2 linked regions of the Diceros bicornis minor genome follow. The protein of the gene in region 1 binds, or shares a complex with, the protein of each later gene. Links are inferred from orthologs where the notes say so. Each region holds a gene or a part of one and is shown in the gene's direction. Other genes may lie near its edges.

Region 1 (10,365 bases):
ATTGTGGTTTTGATTTGCATCTCCCTGATGATTAATGACTTTGGGCACCTTTTCATGTATCTGTTGATCATTTGTATATCTTCTCTTGAAAAATGTCTATTCAAACCCTCTATCCATTTTTTAATGAGATTGTGTTTCTGTTGAATTGTATGAGTTGTTCATATATATTGGGTATTAACCTCTTATCAGATATATGACTTGCAAATATTTTCTTTTCATTTTGTTGATGGTTTTCTTTGCTGTGCAGAAGCCTTTTAGTTTGATGTAGACCCACTTGTTTATTTTTGCTTTTGTTGCCTTCGCTTTTGATGTCAAATCCAAAAAATCATTGCCAAGACCAACATCAAGGAGCTTACCATTTATGTTTTCTTCTGGGAATCTTATGGTTTTAGGTCTTATGTTCAAGCCTTCAAGCCATTTTGAGTTGATTTTCGTGTATGGTATGAGATAGTGGTCCAGTTTCATTCTTTTGCATGTAGCTGTCCAGTTTTCTCAACACCATTTATTGAAGAGACTACCCTTTTCTCATTGTATATTCTTGGCTCCTTTGTTGTCAATTAATTGACCATATATGCGTGGGTTTATTTCTGGATCCTCTATTCTGTTTCATTGATGTATGTGTCTGTTTTTATGCCAGTACCACACTGTTTTGATTACTATAGCTTTGTACTATAGTTTGAAATCAGGACGTGTGATGCCTCCAGCTTTGTTCCTCTTTCTCAAGATTGCTTTTGCTATTTGGGGTCTTTTGTGGTCAAGATTGATTTCTTAAACTCAATCACTAACATCTATGCCCTCCATTGAAAGCAAGGCCCTCACTCGTGGCCTGTTGGTCCTTACCTGGATACACATTCCCAGCCACCTCAGTTACCTAGTTTGCAAGTATCCCTTCCTCAATAAAAGAGAGGAGAAAAAGGGTTACCAAAATGTCATATGGTGACCCCAGTGAAAAGAAACATCTTATAGCCTGAATGCAAGAAAGAAGAAAAAAATAGACAAAGTGTTTAAAAACTCAACAGTACAGAGCAGTTGATGGTATGTAGCCCAATATCCCCTCCAACACACCTTGTAGGCATCATAAGGCAATAATTGTTTATAATGACAGAAAGAGCTAAAAGGGCAGGCTGTGTTTATTCCAGATTGCCAAGGCTTCCCTGGGCACTAAATTTAGCTAATTGTAGTTTATACGGTGGATTGAATTTTTGGCAGGCAGATCCTCATTCGCAATAAGCAAATCTGGTTTGCGGGGTAGACCTGCTGGGCTCGTGGTATCAGTCTATATGGGACACAAACACCTGACTGGAATTAATCACAAATAAAATGCCAGTTAACTGAGGTCTCAACAAGAGACTCTTCACATACCAGGTGAAATATAAATTGGCCTGAGCCCGCCTGAGTAGATAGCAGCCTCAAGTGGAAATTCAAAACAAATGAACAGTTTTTGCTGGCAGCAGCACTTTTTTTTTTCTTTTTTTTGAATGTTTATGGGAGACACATAAACAAACTGCAAACACAGTTCAAGCCATAGTCTCAATAAAAGCCATCTGATCACTCAATCTGAAAGGAATTTAACACTTATAGCTTCATGATCACAGAAAATAAATTTAAATTTCAAAGTAGGTGGGAATGCAAAATGATAGAGCCACTTTAGCAAAAAAATTGGCAGTTTCTTATAAAGTTTAACATTTACTATGCAGTGCAGTAATACCACTCTGTCTTAGTCTGCCTGGGCACCTTCTTATAAGGCCACCAATCCTATGGACTAGGGCCCTGCACTTACGACCTCATTTAACCTTAATTACCTACTAAAAGCCCTATCTCAGAATACAATCACATTGGGGGTTAGAGCTTTAACATATGAATTTTGGGGGGACACATGCAGTCCATAACATACTCCTAGGTATTTACCCAAGAGTAATGAAAACTCGTGTCACACGAAAACATATACATAAATGTTACAGTAGATTTTCTCATAATCACCAAAAACTGGAAACAACCAAGATGTCTTCAACTGGTGAATGGATAAAGAAACGTTGGTACATTCATACAACAGAAGACTACTTATCAATAAAAAAGAATGAACTACTGACACATGCAACAACTTGGATGAATCTGAAAGGCAATTTGCTACATTCAAAGAAGCCGGACTCAAAGGCTACATATTTTATGATTATGTTTCTATGACATTTGGGAAAACAGGCAAAACTATGGGGACGGAAAACTGATTAGTGGTTACCAGGGGCTATGTGAGGTTGGTTTTTCTACAAAGGGGCACAAGGAAACTTTCAGGATGACGGAAGTGTTCTTGTTTGTGGTGGACGTGACTGTATGTATTTGTCAAAATTCATAGAACTGTACATATAAAAGAGTGAATTTTACTGCATGCAAATTAGACCTCAATGAATCTGACATAAAAGAATGAACAGAAGGATACTAAAACAAATTAATTTGTCTGTACATTTTTGCTGAAAGGAGATCTGAAAGAGATCAATAAAGGACTTTCAAGCACAAAACATATTAGGATAACATTTTGTTGGGATAGTAGGAACGGGAATATGAGGGGAAAGAGAAAATGGAATGATAGAAAATTTCCAATTGTTAAAGAGAAGTTTTGTTCATGTATTTTTAAAATTGGATGACAGTGAGTATCAAATCATGATATTTAGAGTCCATTGGATATATTTAAAGTTTATTTTAAAAGGTTTTATTTTAAAAGGTTTATAGTTACATGCTGGATATTACATCCTTTGCACCTGATCAAACTTTTAATGAAACATTTTAGATCTCGGGGCTGGCCCGATGGCCTAGTAGTTAAGTTTGACATGCTCTGCTTTGGCAGCCCGGGTGTGGTTCCAGGTGTGGACCTACACCACTTTTCAGCGGCCACGCTGTGGCAGCGACCCACATACAAAATAGAGGAAGACTGGCACAGATGTTAGCTCAGGGTGAATCTTCCTCAGCAAAAAAAAAAAAAAAAAAAAAATTAGATGTCAACACTAAGATATTCTAGAAGGTTATATCTTTTAGGGAGACATGATCAAAAAGTTTGAAGACCTGTGTGTTTTGTTATATAAAAAATTTTGGCAAAGTTTCACAGTTCTCATGTATTTTAAGTGATAAATATAATGTAAACAAAGTTTATTTTTAGGCGACTGTCATTTACGGTCAGACATTCTATTGGGCTATCAGATCACAACATGAGTAAGGATTTTACATGCACAAAATCTAAGGCTCTAATAAGAAGAAGATATATCTTACTTATCATAAGCAGTCATTCATTCAATAAATATAATGGTGAGTCAATAACATGCCGGGCACCATAAGTAGGCTCTAAGGTCACAGAATGGAACTAAAGAGAGACAGTCGCTCCTCTCATAGATCTTAAAGCATAGTGAGGATGATAGACATGAAACATAAACACGTAAATAATTCATTATGATTATAATAAGTGCCATGAGAATATTTAATAGGGCTGTCTGAGAAACTGACATCTCAGGTGGTACTTCACTGATGGAAGGAGTGATTGAAGATGCGGGGGAAGTGTGGGAGAGAGCACGGAGACAGGCAACCTGTAGGCTGTCAGGGTGTTGACTTCCTGAGAAGAGCAGCAGGAAACCATTTTAGCGGAGGCAAGAGGTGATCAGATTTGTGTTTTAAGATGGCCACTCGAACTTCTGGGAGAAGGAGATAAGATAAGAGAAATAAGTGTTTGTTAAGCATAGTCTAAGAATCTAATTTCAACTCTTTTCTTAAGAACTTGTTCAAAAATTATGTCCAAGTCAGTTAATCTCCATCATCAAAAGTGGCTCTGGGCCGGCCCTGTGGCTTAGCGGTTAAGTGCGTGCACTCTGCTACTGGCGGCCCAGGTTCGGATCCCGGGCGCGCACCCACGCACCGCTTCTCCGGCCATGCTGAGGCTGCGTCCCACATACAGCAACTAGAAGGATGTGCAACTATGACGTACAACTATCTACTGGGGCTTTGGGGAAGAAAAAAAAGGAGGAGGACTGGCAATAGATGTTAGCTCAGAGCCGGTCTTCCTCAGCAAAAAGAGGAGGATTAGCATGGATGTTAGCTCAGGGTTGATCTTCCTCACACACACACACACAAAAAGTGGCTCTGACTTAAAACCTATCTCTTTTTTTGAAGGAATGTTGTCAATTCTTAAGTAATTTTAGCTTTTTAATTTTTTTTATTGTGGTAACATTGGTTTGTAACATTGGTTTATAACATTGTATAAATTTCAGGTGTACATCATTATACTTCTATTTCTGCATAGATTACATCATGTTCACCACCCAAAAACTAATTACAACCCATCTCCACACACATGTGCCTAGTCATCCCTTTCGCTCTCCTCCCTCCTCCCTTCCCCTCTGGTAACCACCAATCCAATCTTTGTCTCTTTGTGATTGTTTGTTGCTTTTATCTTCTACTTATGAGTGAGATCATTCTCCCTCTGACTTAGTTCACTTAGCATAAAACCCTCGATGTCCATCCATGTTGTCACAAATGGCTGGATTTCATCGTTTCTTATGGCTGAGTGGTATTCCACGTGTATACATAAGTAATTTTAGCTTTTTAAGGTTAAACAAATTTAATCTATTGGAGAGACTGGTGGAGGCATAAAAAATTACCAAGAAAAACACCCAATTATTAAGTGATTTTTTTTCTTTCATGATAATTGATAAATACATGTCTTACACTTAACAGGTGTTTGATTATTTACTGCTGCATAACAAGCCATCCTAAAACTTCATGACTTGAAACAATAATAATAATTTCCTTTGCCCACAAATTGGACGGGGATCAGTGGGAAGGTTCATCTCTGCTCCATACAGCATTAGCTGGGACAGCTTGATGGAAGGCTGGAAGATCTGCTTCCAATCTGGCTCATCCAACATGGCTGGGCTGAGGACCAGGGGCCCCCGGTCCTGTGCACTTGGTGAGAACTAACTTCAACAAATTGCCAGCTAGCAGACACAGCTGGCCTAGTCACATTTACACTCACCAACTCTTTGTAGTTTTTTGCTTGAGCTCTGCACTCTCCCCACCCCTACTCCTTCATTCTCTCTTTAAATCACCCAGTTGCCTCTGCCAAATCAGAATGGATCTGAGTTCTTTCCCTCACTGTTAGTAGTGGCTGAATAAAATCTGTTTTCACCCCTTTTACTAATGTCTGGCTTTATTTATCTTTGACAATAGGCTTCTCCAAGTGACCTGGGCTTCCTCACAGCACGGTGGCTGGTTCAAAGGGTCAGTGAAGAGAGAGAGAAGCGACACCACAGCAAAACAGCAGTGCCTACACCTCCTCAAGCATGAAAATGTTTTATAATCTACCCATTTATAAATCAAAGAAGATTTGAAATAGTGATTCAAGTTCACTATAGATACAAAAGGAGAAAGAAAAATAAAAAGAAAGGAACAAAATTAAGCCAATTGGGTGACTGAGGGTAGTATGAATATGTCACTTATAGTGAACGTAAATTTGCCCCATGGGGAAAAAAAGAATTACCACTTTAAAAAAAATCCAATAATTATTTGAAAGGCTCAGATAAAATTAAAACATAGCAAAGAACTATAAATTAGGAGTGAAGCCTAAATTTGAACTTAGGCATATAGGTCCTTTCTATTATCCTTATTTTTTACATAAGGACACTCAGGCGATGAATGTTATTTCTGGTGACACCGTGGACACTAAACCTTCACATGTCAATGTTCCTTGGATGTTTTGTCTTCAGCATAGCCCTGATGGATGCTCTCACGATGAAGAGGCAGCACTTAACATGTACAGAAGCTGCTTTCACTTCAGCGAAAAAAAGAGTACGCGAGCTGATTTTTTAAAGATGATTTTTGACCCCTGCGAGCCTCCGGCCTGGACTACATTTCCCAGCAGGCCGTGCTCAGAACTACGGGTGCCTAAGTGAGGTCCAGCGCCGTTGGGGGCGGCGCAGTGGCTGTGCGGGCGGCCGACAGGCGGGTGCTTCGCGGTTTGAATGGCTGCGGGCCCGGGCCCTCAGCTCACCTGAGGACCGGCCGTCCCGGGGTGCGCTATGCCATCGGGAGGCGACCAGTCGCCGCCACCCCCGCCTCCTCCTCCGGCGGCGGCAGCCTCGGATGAGGAGGAGGACGACGACGGCGAGGCGGAGGACGCCGCGCAGCCGGCCCGGTCGCCAGCCCCTCAGACCCAGCAGCGGTTCGACGAGCTGTGCAGCCGCCTCAACATGGACGAGGCGGCGCGGGCCGAGGCCTGGGACAGCTACCGGAGCATGAGCGAGAGCTACACGCTGGAGGTGCGCCCGGGGGCAGACGGGCGCCTCTCCGGGCCTAGTGGGCGCGCCCCGCGGCGGGGAGGGGCCTCGCCTCTGGCCGCTCGGCGCCCGCGGGGTCCTCCGGCGGGCGCGGCTCCCCGGGTCCCCTGGAGAGGGGTGGGAGCCCCCTGCGCCTGGGAACCCGGCTCTGGCAGAGCTCTGAGCGGCCCCGACGGTGAACCCGCCTCGCGGCTCTGCCCTGCCGGGTTCCGAGCGGGGTCACCTCTTGCCCTAAAGTAGCAGCGCGGGGCTGAGGTCGTGCCGGGGTCACAATGACAAAAATACAGCCACCGTTTTGGCAGGACAGACAGGTGCGGGTGTCAGGACCGCCCGGGGAAGGGCGGGGGACCTGCCCGTGTTCGCGCCGGGTTTGTGGGCTTCTCCTTCACTTCTTTCCGACGGCGCCAAATGGCCTTTGTCCGGGCTTGGCATCGGTTTGCGTAAACGCGTTAAGATGCGGGCTGTGTTTACGGAGGTGTAAACAAAGACGAATCTTCCCCAGGGCGAAGGAAATGGACTTTCTGCCCAGCTGGATATAGACACACGCCCCGCTTTGTCACGAGGCCGCGACGACTTTGGGGGGCTTTTGGTGGCCCCAGGCCTTGCACAGGACTCGCAGAGTCGCTGTGATTTAGGCGTGTTGTGCCCCTTTCTTCGGGCGGGCCTGCAGATGAGAAAAATAGCCATTCTAGCCAGTGAGGCTCCACTCCGTAGGCACCTCCCCGTCATGGGCCAATGGGAAGGGACGCGGAAGTCTGTCTTGTTTATTAGCTGTTTGACTGCCCGTGTGGGTGGCATTTAAACAGGAGGCCGCGTGATTTTCTTAGGTTGTTTTACAGTTTGGGGAAAGAGTAGGGCAAATAGGCTCAGAATGAGAAGGCCTAACCCAAGGTATTATTTGACTGTAACAGGGTGTTTTTGCCAACGTGTCACTCACTCGGCTTATTTTTTTTATTTATTCTTGCATCAATAGAATTTTAATTCGATTTCTTCTCCCCATTGTTATATCTACAAAAAAAGAGAAAGAAAGAAAAGCTAGTAATACAGTGGCTTTAGAACCTGACAGACCTAGGTGACTCTGGACAATTTACTTAACCACTCCAAAACTCACTTTTGTGCTGTGTAAATTTGAGATATTTGTACCTACCTCACAGAACCATTCCGAAGGTTAAATCAGGTAGTGTGTAGTTTCTGGCACATAAAGCGCTCATATAGACAGTGCTTTAGAATTTACAAAGCTCTATCATATACTTAGGTGATCAGGCTGAAAAGGCCATGTTCCTATTTATTTCTCAGTGGTTCCTGTGGTCAGGCAGAGAGAAAGACTTTTTTTTTGGTGATGGGTGTAATTGCCTCAAAATAAGCTCTTATTTTACCCTCAGGATAATCCTGAGGTTCTATCTAGATTAGATAGAACAAGCGTTATCACCATATAGTTGACGTATTTCAATTCACAGAGGTTAAGTCCTGTGAAGTCCCGTGTTATATAAGCAAGTGACAAATAATAGATGGTTAGTAAATTATTTCTGAAAACACATGTTTGATTACTCAACTTTTTTAAGACTTTGATCTCAGATTCTTAGCTCAGTTTACTCAATAAATGAATGAATATTTATTCATTTAGTGAATATTTCACAATCACCTATTCTTTGCCACTTTTGTAGGTGCTGGGAATAGAGCAGTGAACAAAATGTAAAAATTCCTGCCCTTGTGGAGCTTGTAGTCAGGTATTCTGTAAGATATTGTGGGATGTCAGGCTCATGGAAGTGTACAATGGAAAATAAAGCTCATGGATATTTAACACAGAATACTGGTTATCGAATTGTATCTTTTGATTTCTTGTATTTTCTATGCTTTATACTTGTCACTCATTTAATTCTCACAGTCCTCAGATAAGAAAATTGAGCCTCTGTGACTGTTAAGTAGTTTGCCCAGGGTGTTCTGCTCCCATGTTGGCACTGCCAAGGCACATGTCCTGAGAGACAGAGCCAGGTGGAATCTGTATTGCCTTTTATGATCTTGCAAGTTACGTGGTATCACTTCCACCTGTGCTATTGGCTGAGACAGTTCAAAGTAAGGAAACACAGACTCCTCCCTCTCAGTGGAACAACATCAATGTTACCTTATGAGAAGAAACATGGGATCAGCCATCACTGAAAATACAGTTTCCCACAAACATATAAATAACACTTTCAATTTAAACGTAAGAATTTTTTTATATTGAAATATCTATAGCTCATTAGGTAAAAATCAATTTTCTTTTATTTTACAGGGAAATGATCTTCATTGGTTAGCATGTGCCTTATACGTGGCTTGCAGAAAATCTGTGCCAACTGTCAGCAAAGGGACAGTTGAAGGGAACTATGTATCTTTAACTAGAATCCTGCGATGTTCAGAGCAGAGGTAATTATGTTAGAATTTGAAAAGTAGAGTGTGACTCATTAAAAGCTCATAAATTACAGTGATAGTAAGAATTCTCTTTGTTCATCGTTTTCTGAGCGTTTGTACCTATGGAGTGCTGAATTTAGAAGCTAGGTCATGGTTTCCCTTTACCACATCTAAGTTAGTATCCATTCTATTTTGCTTCTTTGGTGAAAAATATTTGAATTTTAAGGTATTAGGCACTTGTATGAAGAGTTTACTATTAAAGGTTTTGACTCATCATTGTGTAATATTGGGAGAATTCCAAATAAGGATATTGAGAAACTTTAGGAAATACTCTGGACTGAAAAGGTAAATAAAATATTATATGGTATTAAACTTTGAACTGCATGCACAGCACTTATATACGGAACATGTAAATACTTCTCGGTTTCCTCTTCGGGAGATAAGCAACACTATTAGAATCTATTATAGAAAAGGTCAAGTAATGTTTTAAAGAAGAGGCAGAAATTGCTTTTTCTATCTGTTGTGTAATTTAATTGATTACATTTACTATTTGTGCCTTTTGGGTGAATTTTCTCTTATGGCTTATTAAAGATTGGTGGGAAAAGGATGTTTGGCAATTTGGGGGAAATACCACTGTCAAAATTTATGGACCTAATGGTTTAAAAAATCACTTACTATTAAAATAATTAACAAGAAATGTAATATTTCAGCTGTATTCTATTTATTAACCTTGAACTCCATCCTGAGTTATATTTAGGCTTAAGAACAAGAGGCAGTGCATAAAGAGTTGAACACCTGGGCTGTAATCCTGCAGAAGTGGACTTAAATAAGTTGCAAAAGTATAATCATTACAAAGAAGAGAAATGGAGGCAGAGTAATCCAGTTAAGTGACAGACGAGGAACTTTAGAAGCAAAGATCAAATTATGGAATCATCATGAAAAACTATAGTAAACTAAAGTTATCTAACATTTTAATGCAAGTAATACAATCCGGGCTTCAGTTTTATTTCCATTTCAAAAACTCAATTTTTATCTTTAAATTTTTACCTATGGGTTCAGATTATTTACTTTTCTGCCATAATGGACTAATGGATTAAAAACAAAGAGCAGATTGGGAGAAGATATTTACAATGCATATAATTGACTAAAGATCAGTATCCAGAATTATATAAAGAACTACTATCAAATGGTTAAATAATTGACAAACAGCAACTAAAAAGGGTAAAGAATATGATTCCACAAAGGCCAAAACTCACATAGCTAATACATATAGGCAAAGATGTTCAGTCTCGCGACTAATCAAGGAAGTTCAAAGTAAAAACAAGATAACATTTCATTCTCATCAGATTGGGGAGATTTGAAGTCAGATAATACCAAGTTTGGTCATTATGTAGGGAAACAGGACCTCTGTATTATTAGTATACACAGGTGAGAGTATAACTTGGCACAGTCACTTTAGTAGGAAATTTGGCAGTATCCAGTAAAGTTGAAGATGCACCTTTTCTGACTCAGCAATTCTACTTCTTGGGGTAGCCTCTAAAGAAATTCTTACATACCTGTGTAAGAATGTGTTCATTACAGCATTTTTTGTTATAATGAAGAATTGGAAACCTCAATTGGGGAATGAATTTAAAAAATCATGGTAGTTCATATGAAGGAATATTTT
Region 2 (9,780 bases), on another chromosome or scaffold:
AAAGACCTCTGGTAAGGGTAAATACATGGGCAAACATAAAAGCCAACGTTCTTGTATTTTTGGTTTGTAACTCCACATTTTATTTCCTACATGATTTAAAAGATAAATGCATTAAAATAATTATAAGTCTATGTTATTGAGCAAATACTATATAAATATGTAAATGGACTAAACTCCCCTATCAAAAGAGGTAGACTGGCAGAATGGGTAAAAAGCAGGATCCAACTATATGCTGTTTACAAGACTCACTCTCCATCTAAGGACACACAGACAAAGTGAGAGGATGGAAAAATATTTTACATGCAGTTAGTAACCAAAGGAGAGCAGGGGTGGCTACACTAATAACAGACAAAATAGACTTGAAGTAAAAGATTGTTACAAGAGACAAAGGACATTGTATAATGATAATATAATGATAATGATATTAATGATATGATAATATAATGTCCTCTTTTGTCTCTTGTAACAATGATCAAAGGGTGAATTCACCAAGAAGATATAACAATTATAAATGTATATACACTAAACATCAGAGCTTCTAAATATATGAAGCAAACATTGACAGAATTGAAGGAAGAAATAGGCAGCTCTGCGATAATAGAGAACACGTCAATACCCCACTTTTGATCGTGGATAGAACACCCAACAGGTCAACAAGGAAACAGAGGACTTGCACAACATCGTAGACCGATTGGACCTAACTGTCTGCAGAGCACTCCCCCCAACAGTAGCAGAAGACACATTCTTCTCAAGCGCACATTCTCTGGGACTAGGTCCCTGGAGACCTTTCCCATACTTTGTGAGGCAGCAGTGCACTGAGGAACGAGTCTCCCTTGGGGTCTGTTTATTTCAGGGCCCCTGAGCTTCTCATCAACCCAGAAGCAGGTCAGTCCATTGAAGAAGCAGGAAGTAGCTAATTTCCATTTTTAAAACATTGCTCTGGCTGCTGAATAGATGAGAGATTAGAGTAGGATACGAGTGGAGGAAGCGAGAGGAGATGGAGTTGTTTACCTCTATCTAGGTTTCTAGTATCAACAGCTAGGTGGGCACCATGCATTTCCTGAGCTAGTGGATGCTGGGGGGCGGAGCTGGTTTGGTAGAAGAGTCCTGAGTTCATGATCAGCTATATCATGTGTCGTTTGAAGGAATAACACACTTGCCCAAGTGCCTTACTGAGAAGTTGTGCTAATTATTATTCCCACCAATGGTGAATGAGGGTGTCCATGAAACCACGATTTTAAATAGTTTCCCCCAGAGGAATTTGTGTTCTAGTCATAGAATGGCAAACCTAGATTTGGAGAAAAATTAAGTATCTTTAGTGTTGGAAGCTTTAGACTGTAAGAGGAAAAGATGAAGGAGAAGTTTGCCTAGAATGGTGTGTATGCAATTTTAGAGAAATATGATAGGTTATATGAAGAAAATGTAATTAAACTTGCTTCTATCCCCTACCCTCCATCCCTCAGCCTGCAAGCCATCACCTCCATCCCTCACCCTCCATACCCTCACCCTGCATCTCTCACACCCATGCCATCACCTCAATCCTTCATCCTTCATCCCTCACCCCCATGCCCTCACCCTGCATCTCTCGCACCCATGCTGTCACCTCAATCCCTCATCCTCCATCCCTCACCTCCATCCCTCACCCTCTACGCCCTCACCCCCATGCCTCACCTCCATCCCTCACCCCCATGCCTCACCTCCATCCCTCACCCCCATGCCCTCACCCCCATGCCTCACCTCCATCCCTCATTCCCATGCCCTCACACCCATCCCTCACACCCATGCCCTCACTTCCATCCCTCACTCTCCATTCCTTAGCCTCTATCCCTCACCCTCCATGCCCTCACCCCCATCCTTCACCCTGCTTTTCTCACACCCATGCCCTCACCTCAATCCCTCACCCCCATGCCCTCACCCTCTGATATTACCCTCCATCTCTCACCCCCATGCCCTCACCTCCTTTGGTAGATGCTTTCTGGCCTTTGCCCTCTATGGTATTGGACCTGTTCTCCTAAAATCATCAATTACCTGATTGCCAGGTAGAATGACCTCTATTCACCTTTCATTCTACTTGATCCTGTAACACATTTGACACTGTTGATCACTCCCTCCTACTTGAAGCATATCCTTTCTTGGTTCTGCAAATCAATCGATCCATGTCATTAGGAATCACTTTTAACGTTTAGAGTTTGAACAACCCTACTGTTGGCAGGACTAGATGGACACCGAAGGCTTTGTCTATGGAGATTGGAAGGGCACCAACGTAGTGGTATGGGTGGGCTAACGACTCCAGTAGAGGTGACGAGGACCTGCAGGAAGCCCTTACTCCCCCCAGGCTGAGGGCACGGGGAGCAAGCACAGCTTAGGGACCTGAGCAGACAGTTGTGGAAGGGGCCCCCACAGGAGCTGGGGACAGAGGGACGCAACCACTGCCCGACACCTCTCTGTATACTCTCAGCTGGTCACTGCTCATCTCAAATGTCACCTTCTCTGTGAAGCCCTCCAGACTGCCTGCAGGGGGAACAAGGGTTCCTGCTTCTGTAATGCCCTTCCCCTATAGCGAAGAGTATTGTCTCCTCTTGTATTCGATTGTACGTGATCTGCCTTTCCTGTTTAAGCCATCCTCCATTTTACTAATCTGTGCAACCTCAGCACTCAGAGTCCCATCTGGCATGTATTTGAGCTCAAACATGTTTGGTGAATGAGGAATGCAGGAAAGGTAAAGGTTTTGAAATTGCGGTTCGTCTTCCTATCAGAGAACTAGATTTGGTCTGCTTATTTCTGAGCTAAAGGAGTTTGAACATCAGAGAAGCTGAGATTACTTATTGTCTGACTGCCCTTCATCTCAGCTTCATTGTAGCGGGTGGTTCCAAGGTCCTTCTCTGAACCCGTAAGATGAGTGGACAGGTAGCAGAGAAATGACCAAAAGTACTCAATTGTACATAAAGTCAAGTTTCTTAAAATTGTGCTGCAGGCTCCTGGGGCTGCTTTCACTCCTGGAAAGATGGAAAATGGACTCTACTGAGGAAGGAAAGGGTACAAAGAGGACTTGGGTCTTTCAGCCTTACATTGTAGGGTCCGTGGAAGAAAGTAACGTTGACATCATCGTAGCTAGAGCAATGGGAAGTCACACAGAAGGAACACTTTAGGATTGTGGAGTCAAATGGCGAAGGAACGGAAGGGATTTCTTTTGTTGTAAAAGCCAGAGAACATTTCAGATGAAAAGCCAGTCTAAGTAGTGAACAGCGCTGTGAGAGATAGTTGAGTAAATTGGACACTGTCGTCTTCCAGAATTAGCTGTATCCAAGGGTCACTTTTCAAAGGACTGTGGCTTCAGCCTGTAAGTGCTTGTTCAAGTGACTCAGTGATGGAGGCATGAGCAATATCCAAAGCATAATGATGCAAGGGCGTCAAGGACTGACCCTCCTTCCAAGAGGAGGACTTTGGATTTGACTGGCAGTTCTCAAAAGGAGTCGTGAACATAAGGAAGAGTAAGAGAGAAGTAAAGGCGTCTTCACGTGTCTGGGTGGCAGATGGGGCTTAGAGGCGGTGACCTCCTTGGGGAGAGGGCTGGGGGATTTATCTTGGGCTTGAGCAAGCACGTTGATTTACTTAAGTTTTACGATACACACAAATAAGCAGAACAAAGTTTTCCCAAGATGCCTTTATTTATATTTTACCAAAGAATGAGAAAGCGTCACTTGTCCACATCCCGAAACATCCCCCGTAAGTCCCACGAGCCCCGTCCCCTCCCGCTCTTCCCACCTCTTGACATCACCGTTGCTGAGGTGGCCCAGGAAGATGGGAAACAGGAAAGGGCTGGCGAAAAGACCAGTGTCGTTGAGGGGGGAGCCAAAGACAAGCAGGTATTGAACAAACAGATTTAGAATGAAAGTTTTCAAGGGATTAGAAAATTTCCTCTCTCTCTTTTATGGGGGTGGGGGAGGGGGAAGGATTTGTCTCATGCCCTAAGACTCAACAGACTGGACACACAAAGAGAGAGGGAGCTTTGGGGAGATGAGGACTTTTCCTGGGAAGGACCCCGATCACTTTCTTCAGAACCATTTTCTTGTGGTGTCCTGGACGATGAGGCGGGGCTGGACACCAGCCACTGGGAAGTGGATCAACACTAGAAGTCACGCTTCCTGAACAACTCTTGCCCCAGACACAGATGGCGATGGAAGGATCAGATGAATACAGGGAGTTGGGGTGCGGTACTTATCAAGAGGTTGCATTCCTGCAATCTGATCTAGAGACTTCAAGGCAAGGCAGTGGCTGAAAATATTTGGATCTTCAACCAAGAGAGAATTGTTACTTTTTAACACAGAAATGGGGGATATTTGACTATAGAGGAACAAGTGTTTTCCCTTTCCCCAAGTAAACCGGAGCCTCAAAGAGCTGTCATTGCTGTGGTAGCTCTTGTGAGTTCAGAATATTTCACTACAGGGATTTTTGTGCAGAAATTATTTCGAATATTACAGGTAGTCATCCCGTGTAAACAATATCGAATCACGGGAACCTTGAATCTGTAGGCAGAGGCTTAAGATTCCGTCCTCTGATCCTCCATTTCTTCCTAACTGTGAGCCCCTAGCTCTCAAAGGAGACTTGCTGTCCTGTGCACTTGGGTCCAAGGGCTGGGAAGGGGGCTTCCGGCTGCCATCTGGGGGTAAATAGCCAAATATAGTCAAAAACGAATTACTGTGAAAGAAAAATGGAGCTAGGGACATATGGCCACTGGAGGTACCAAAGGGAGGGATGTAGGTTCCGGTATCATGGGCACTTGCTAAGGGTAGAGCAGTGTAAATTCCACCAGCAGAGAAATAAGGTCCTTCTGTAGGACTTTCCCTCTGGAAGCTTTTAATGCACCCCCATCACGGCACCATCCATGTTTCTGCCCATGTGTCCATTGTGTGCTAATCTGGACAAAGAATGAAGATTTCTGCTGTCTTCAAGAAGAAATTAGTGCTCACTAAGGTGTTAACAGTTTAAGACTGGAGTAACCTAAACTGACCTCGCGCTAGGGGGTGTAATGCAAACACACTGCCCTTCGGTGCAGAGGCCTTTGCTCCCGTGCTCAAGTCCCGAGATGGTAATTATGCCTGTGCTCTTATGCCTGTGCTCGCTGCACACCGCCGTCTGATGCAGCCTTGACCTTTGGACTGACTCCCAGGCCCAGCCCGCCCTCTGCTGGGTCTCCAGGCCCTGGGCCCAATGCCCTGGTGGTGGTGGGCTGCAGGGAGGACAAGTCTCCAGGGCTCAGGGTCCACCAGGCGCTCCTGGAGATGAGAAGCAAACCGGCTGCCGAGTTTCCCTCCCCGGCACCATTCTGCACCAAGGACGCGCAGAATCTGGGCGGAGGGCCGAGCACGGACAGGAGAGCACCACCAGGTGGACAGGGCCCTCTGCGCTGCGCGCACACACATCGTCTCCTCCGTGCACCTACACACGCACCCGCCCAAACACGCCCACGTGCACAAACCTAGCCCGCCTTTCTCCTCCGCGAGTACACATACACACGTGCGCGCACACACCGATCTCTTCTCCTCCACGGTGCACACACCCAGCCTCTTTTCCTCCGTGCGCGCACATAAACACCTGTGAGCACAAAATCTGTGCCCTTTCTGCCTGTGTGCACGCACACCCGCAAATACACCCATGTGCATATGCACACACCTGGCCCCCCTCTCCCCTGCGTGCGTATGTGTACATGCATCCGCCCCCTTTCTCCTCCGCGTGTGCAGCACACACAAGCGTCCACACCCGGACCCCTCCCCCGCGTGCGCACCCGCGCGCGCACCGCCGCGTCCCACGCCGGGGCCCCCCTCCGCCCGCCCGCGCGCACGCACCGCGCACACGCGCACGCGCCGCCCATCCCCCTCGGGGCGCGAGCGCGGGCCGCACCGGCGGGAGGCGGAGGGCGAGGAGGAGGAGGGAGCCGAAGGCGCGAAAAGGCGCGCAGGCGCGCTGCGGGAGCCGGGCCCGCGCCCACGTCACCGCGCCGCGCACGTCACGCCGCCCGACGCTCCCTCCAGGGTGAGCCCCGCGCCGGCGCCTCGCAGGGCAGGACCCCGGCCGGGCAGGGACCCCGCGGCCGGAGCCGCCCGGACCGCTCCCGCGCCCGCCGAGTCCGCGCCCGCGAGCCAGGTGCGGCGGGCAGGCCGCGCGGCCGGGTCCCGAGGGCGCACGCGGGCGCACCCCGACACGACGGTCCCGGTCCGCGTCCCCGGACCCCTGCGCCCCCCGCCCGCCCGCGGGCCCCCAGATGACCCGGCCGCGGGGTCGGGGCCGGGGTCCGGGCGGGGCCTCCAGGCGGAGCCGCCGCGCCGCGTCCGGCGCGGTCGGGTCGGGGCCGGTCTGGGTCGGGGTCGGCCGAGCGCAGGGGTCCGGGGTCCGGGGTCCGGGGGCGGCGCTGCCCCGACTGCCGGTTCCGGGGCGCGCGGGGGCGGCCGCGGCCTAGTGACCGGCGCGCGGGACCCCGGAAGCCCACCTGTCAGCGGCGCGGTCGGCCGCGGGGGCGCGGGCGGGGGGCGGCGGGCGGACGGGCGGGCGGGCGCCCCGGGGCGCGCACTGCGCGGGGCGCGGGTCCCCTCCGGCGCGGGGTGAGCGGTGCCCTGCGTCCTGGGGGCCGGCCGTGTGCCAGGCGGGGGCGCAGGGCCTTTGTGTGGGCGTCCGGGGAGCACGGCCGCGGCTGGGGCGCCCGGGCATCGCCGGGCATCCTGGTGTTGGATGTGCCTCCGTCCGCCGGGATGACTTAAAATCCCAGCGTCGGGCTGCTTTTGCCAGCGGCGCTCTGAGGCGGGGCTGTGGTTGGAACGGAAGGCCCAGCACCCTGGAGGGGCAGCCGGGGTGGGGGTGCCGCGGGAAGGGTTGATATTGTGTTAACTTGTTTTCTCGTTCTTACTCATTTCTTGTTTTTCCTTCCTTCTTACCAGAAAAATCACTTTTCTTCTCTGGAGGGTGGACAGTTATAGCATCGATTTCACGGATCTGGTAACATGGCCAAAGATGTAAGTATGCCCGCCTCGTGCACAGACGGCCGTTGGCGCCGCGTTCTGTGGTTTTCCCGCTGCGGTTGAGAGTGACACCGTGCCGGCGGCGGGGTCTGCTGTCGGTGTCGAGAGCAAGTGCGGCGGCGCGGGGGGGGGGGGGGGGGGGAACCGTCGGGGCAGCTGGTGCTTGGCGCGGGTGTGGGCCTCCTTCCACACCTGGGTTTGCATCTGAGCCCCGGTGACAGACATCGTGTCAGCATCCGTGACACACTGGCCTCGAGTCCTCTCAGACTGGATGTGGACTCTGTCTTGTTGCAGGACAGACCCCTCAGTCGCTGGGATGGGGCCTGGGTCAGGCGCTGGTCGCATCCCCACTGCCGAGCCCCTGCGTGCAGAGTATGGGGAGTTAGTTCAGCCTGGGTCCGTCCAGTGCTGAGCACTTGTTTTGGCTCCCTTTGTCTCAAAAAATGAAACTTGGTGATTAATGAAATGTGGTGAAAAATTCTACTTTAGCTTGCTTTGTATTTGTCGTGAAACTAGAGAATATACTGAATTTTTAAATCTGTTCCAACAAATAGGCTTTTAGGTGCAAAAACAGGGTCTATTTAATGGCTCATGTGGTTCTTGACTACACTTGGTAAGATCAGTTAAATTCCCTGAAACCCCGCTGCACCCTTTAGTGTCTCGGAATGCATTGCTCTGTAAACATTAGCGAAGAGAGGCCATTTGCTTGTGTATTGCACAGGGTTGTACATACAGCTCCGAGGAGCTGCGTCTACCTGAACCACAGCCAGAGGTGGTGAAGATGTGTCCGTATCTGGGGACCGAGTGACCATGTCAGCCTTCCCATCAGTTCCGGGGGTTTAATGTTCTCTGAAGGTGCCAGAGGGCGCCCCTCGCTCTCACCGACCGTCCGGCAGGCCCTCACCTTAGGCGCTGGCTTTGGTTTGGTGGAGGGTGTGTGTGAACACACACTTGCACCCTGTGTGGTGTCCGTTAAGGGAGAGTCGTAATCTGTGTGTGATTGAGGTGGTTTATCGTCTCTCGTTGCATTTGTTGATGGTGGTGCCCAGTTCTGTGGTGTGTTTCTCCCAAGATGCAAGGCAGGTGGCCACGCGCAGTCGCATCCTTCAGAGGGCGCTGCTGGCCCCCAAGCCTGTTAGTCTGCAGTCCTGGGGTGCGAGTTTCAGGGAAGCGAGTTATCTGCCCTCTTTTATTACCTGACTGGAGGAGAGGGAGAGACTCCTTGCTGGGAGGCCCTGTGATTCCTCGTTGGCCTGGGAGGTAAAGACAGTCGAGGCTGCTGCCGCCTGGTTGCAGGGGAAGGACTTGTGAACGATCTTCTTCGGGGTCACTTCCTGCAGGCCACCCCAGGGCTTGATGGTGGGGTGGTTCCCCCGCATCTGGTGTTGGATCATCATCATGTGAGTTGGTGACCCTGTGGAGGGTTGGGCGCAGCGATGATAACCGGGTAGTGTGGGCTGAGAACCATCATGGGGCGAGCGGAGTTGAGAGGCCTTCCCTGTCCTGAGAGCTGGCGACACCAGGTGTGGCTGGAACCAGGTTCCACCAGGCATTTGGCCTTTCCTCAGGCTGCCTTAAGTTTTTTAAGTGGGGGTGTGACATTTGGGTTTGGAAGGATGATTTTGGCAGCCAGGGTTGGCGGGGAAGCAGCCGTGGTTAATCTCAGCTCTGGCGTTCCAGTTTGATCTTAGGTGTGAGATCAAGCCCGTAAGCATAGGTGGGAGCCAAGCCCCTGGGGTTGACGGGCGTCAGCCAGAGCTCTGGGGGTTCCGTGGAAGGCTGTTGGGGGCTGGGGAGGCTGGAGGGGGCTGGAGTTAGCTCTGGGGGTCACAGCGGAGGAGGACAAACTTAGGGGACCAGTGAGGTGTCAACCAGGCAGACTTTGGTGAAGAGGATGAGGCGAATGGCAGCTTCCTGTGGAGGTGCAGGGGACACAGCCAGGGGAATGGCTGGACGGGAGCAAGCCGGTTGATGGTGATGGGGTGGTGGGTGTGCACGGGTTTTAAAGGCAAGAGCAGCCCCTTGGGGGAGAGGGTGGTGGGCTGGGCTGGGGAGGGGTGGCAGGTGGGGCAGCGAGGGCCATCCTGACAGGTGAGCGGGACCGCAGCAAGGGCCAGTGGGCAGGCACCTGGGCTCGGATGGCCGTCGCAGGCAGATCCGCTGGACTGTGTCTTTGGTCGAAGGGCCCGATGTCGTCTGGTCTCCCAGGAGGACTGGGAGTGTCCCCCGTCCTGTCTTGGTTAGAACCCCGGACGAGCCAGGCCCCTGGTTCCCATGTGTTGCCCACCTTGCTTCTTGGAGTGGGAACGGAGGAAGGTGGGGGGGGTGTGGCCATCCCTGCGTCTGTGCTCTGCTGCTGTGGAGCGCCTGTGCCGCACAGGGAGCGGCGGGGCCGGCCACACTCAAGGAGCTTGCGGGCGCGGACAGCAGACAGGCTCGGGCCGGCTGGGTCTCTCAGGAGCAGCGCCGTCTTTGCTGAGATCGGAGGGCGAGGCAGCGAGCCCAGTGGGTGTGCGGGCGGGCGAGCATGGCACTGGCACTGACTGCACACCTTACATCTTCTGTGTCTAGATCAGAAATAAGTGTTTGTGTATTTTTACAAAAGTATCTAGACAAAACGCCGTGATTCCTTTGTTTCAAAAAGCCCCCACAGTTTCCAGCAGATGTGAAAATAAGCCTGAGTCTTTGGTGGTTTGTAGCTAATATTTCATTTTAAAAGTGCGTTCCTTCCCCTGGAGGTGCGCCACAGAATGAGCGGGCGCGTGAG

What was found. The genes of interacting proteins can lie anywhere in the genome.
Region 2: RBL2 (region 1) and TFDP1 share a complex: the UniProt entries of both Homo sapiens proteins name them as parts of the DREAM complex. The link is inferred for Diceros bicornis minor from reciprocal best matches to the Homo sapiens genes RBL2 and TFDP1.

Annotation. Positions count from the first base shown.
Region 1 is NC_080771.1:6,626,226-6,636,590, forward strand, and holds the start of RBL2 (retinoblastoma-like protein 2), read left to right. Parts: upstream 1-5,965; 5' UTR 5,966-6,053; coding exon 6,054-6,293; intron 6,294-8,583; coding exon 8,584-8,714; intron 8,715-10,365. UniProt on the Homo sapiens protein: Key regulator of entry into cell division. Directly involved in heterochromatin formation by maintaining overall chromatin structure and, in particular, that of constitutive heterochromatin by stabilizing histone methylation.
Region 2 is NC_080748.1:87,232,412-87,242,191, forward strand, and holds the start of TFDP1 (transcription factor Dp-1), read left to right. Parts: upstream 1-6,015; 5' UTR 6,016-6,033; intron 6,034-6,068; exon of another isoform or gene 6,069-6,144; intron 6,145-6,932; 5' UTR 6,933-6,995; coding exon 6,996-7,007; intron 7,008-9,780. UniProt on the Homo sapiens protein: Can stimulate E2F-dependent transcription.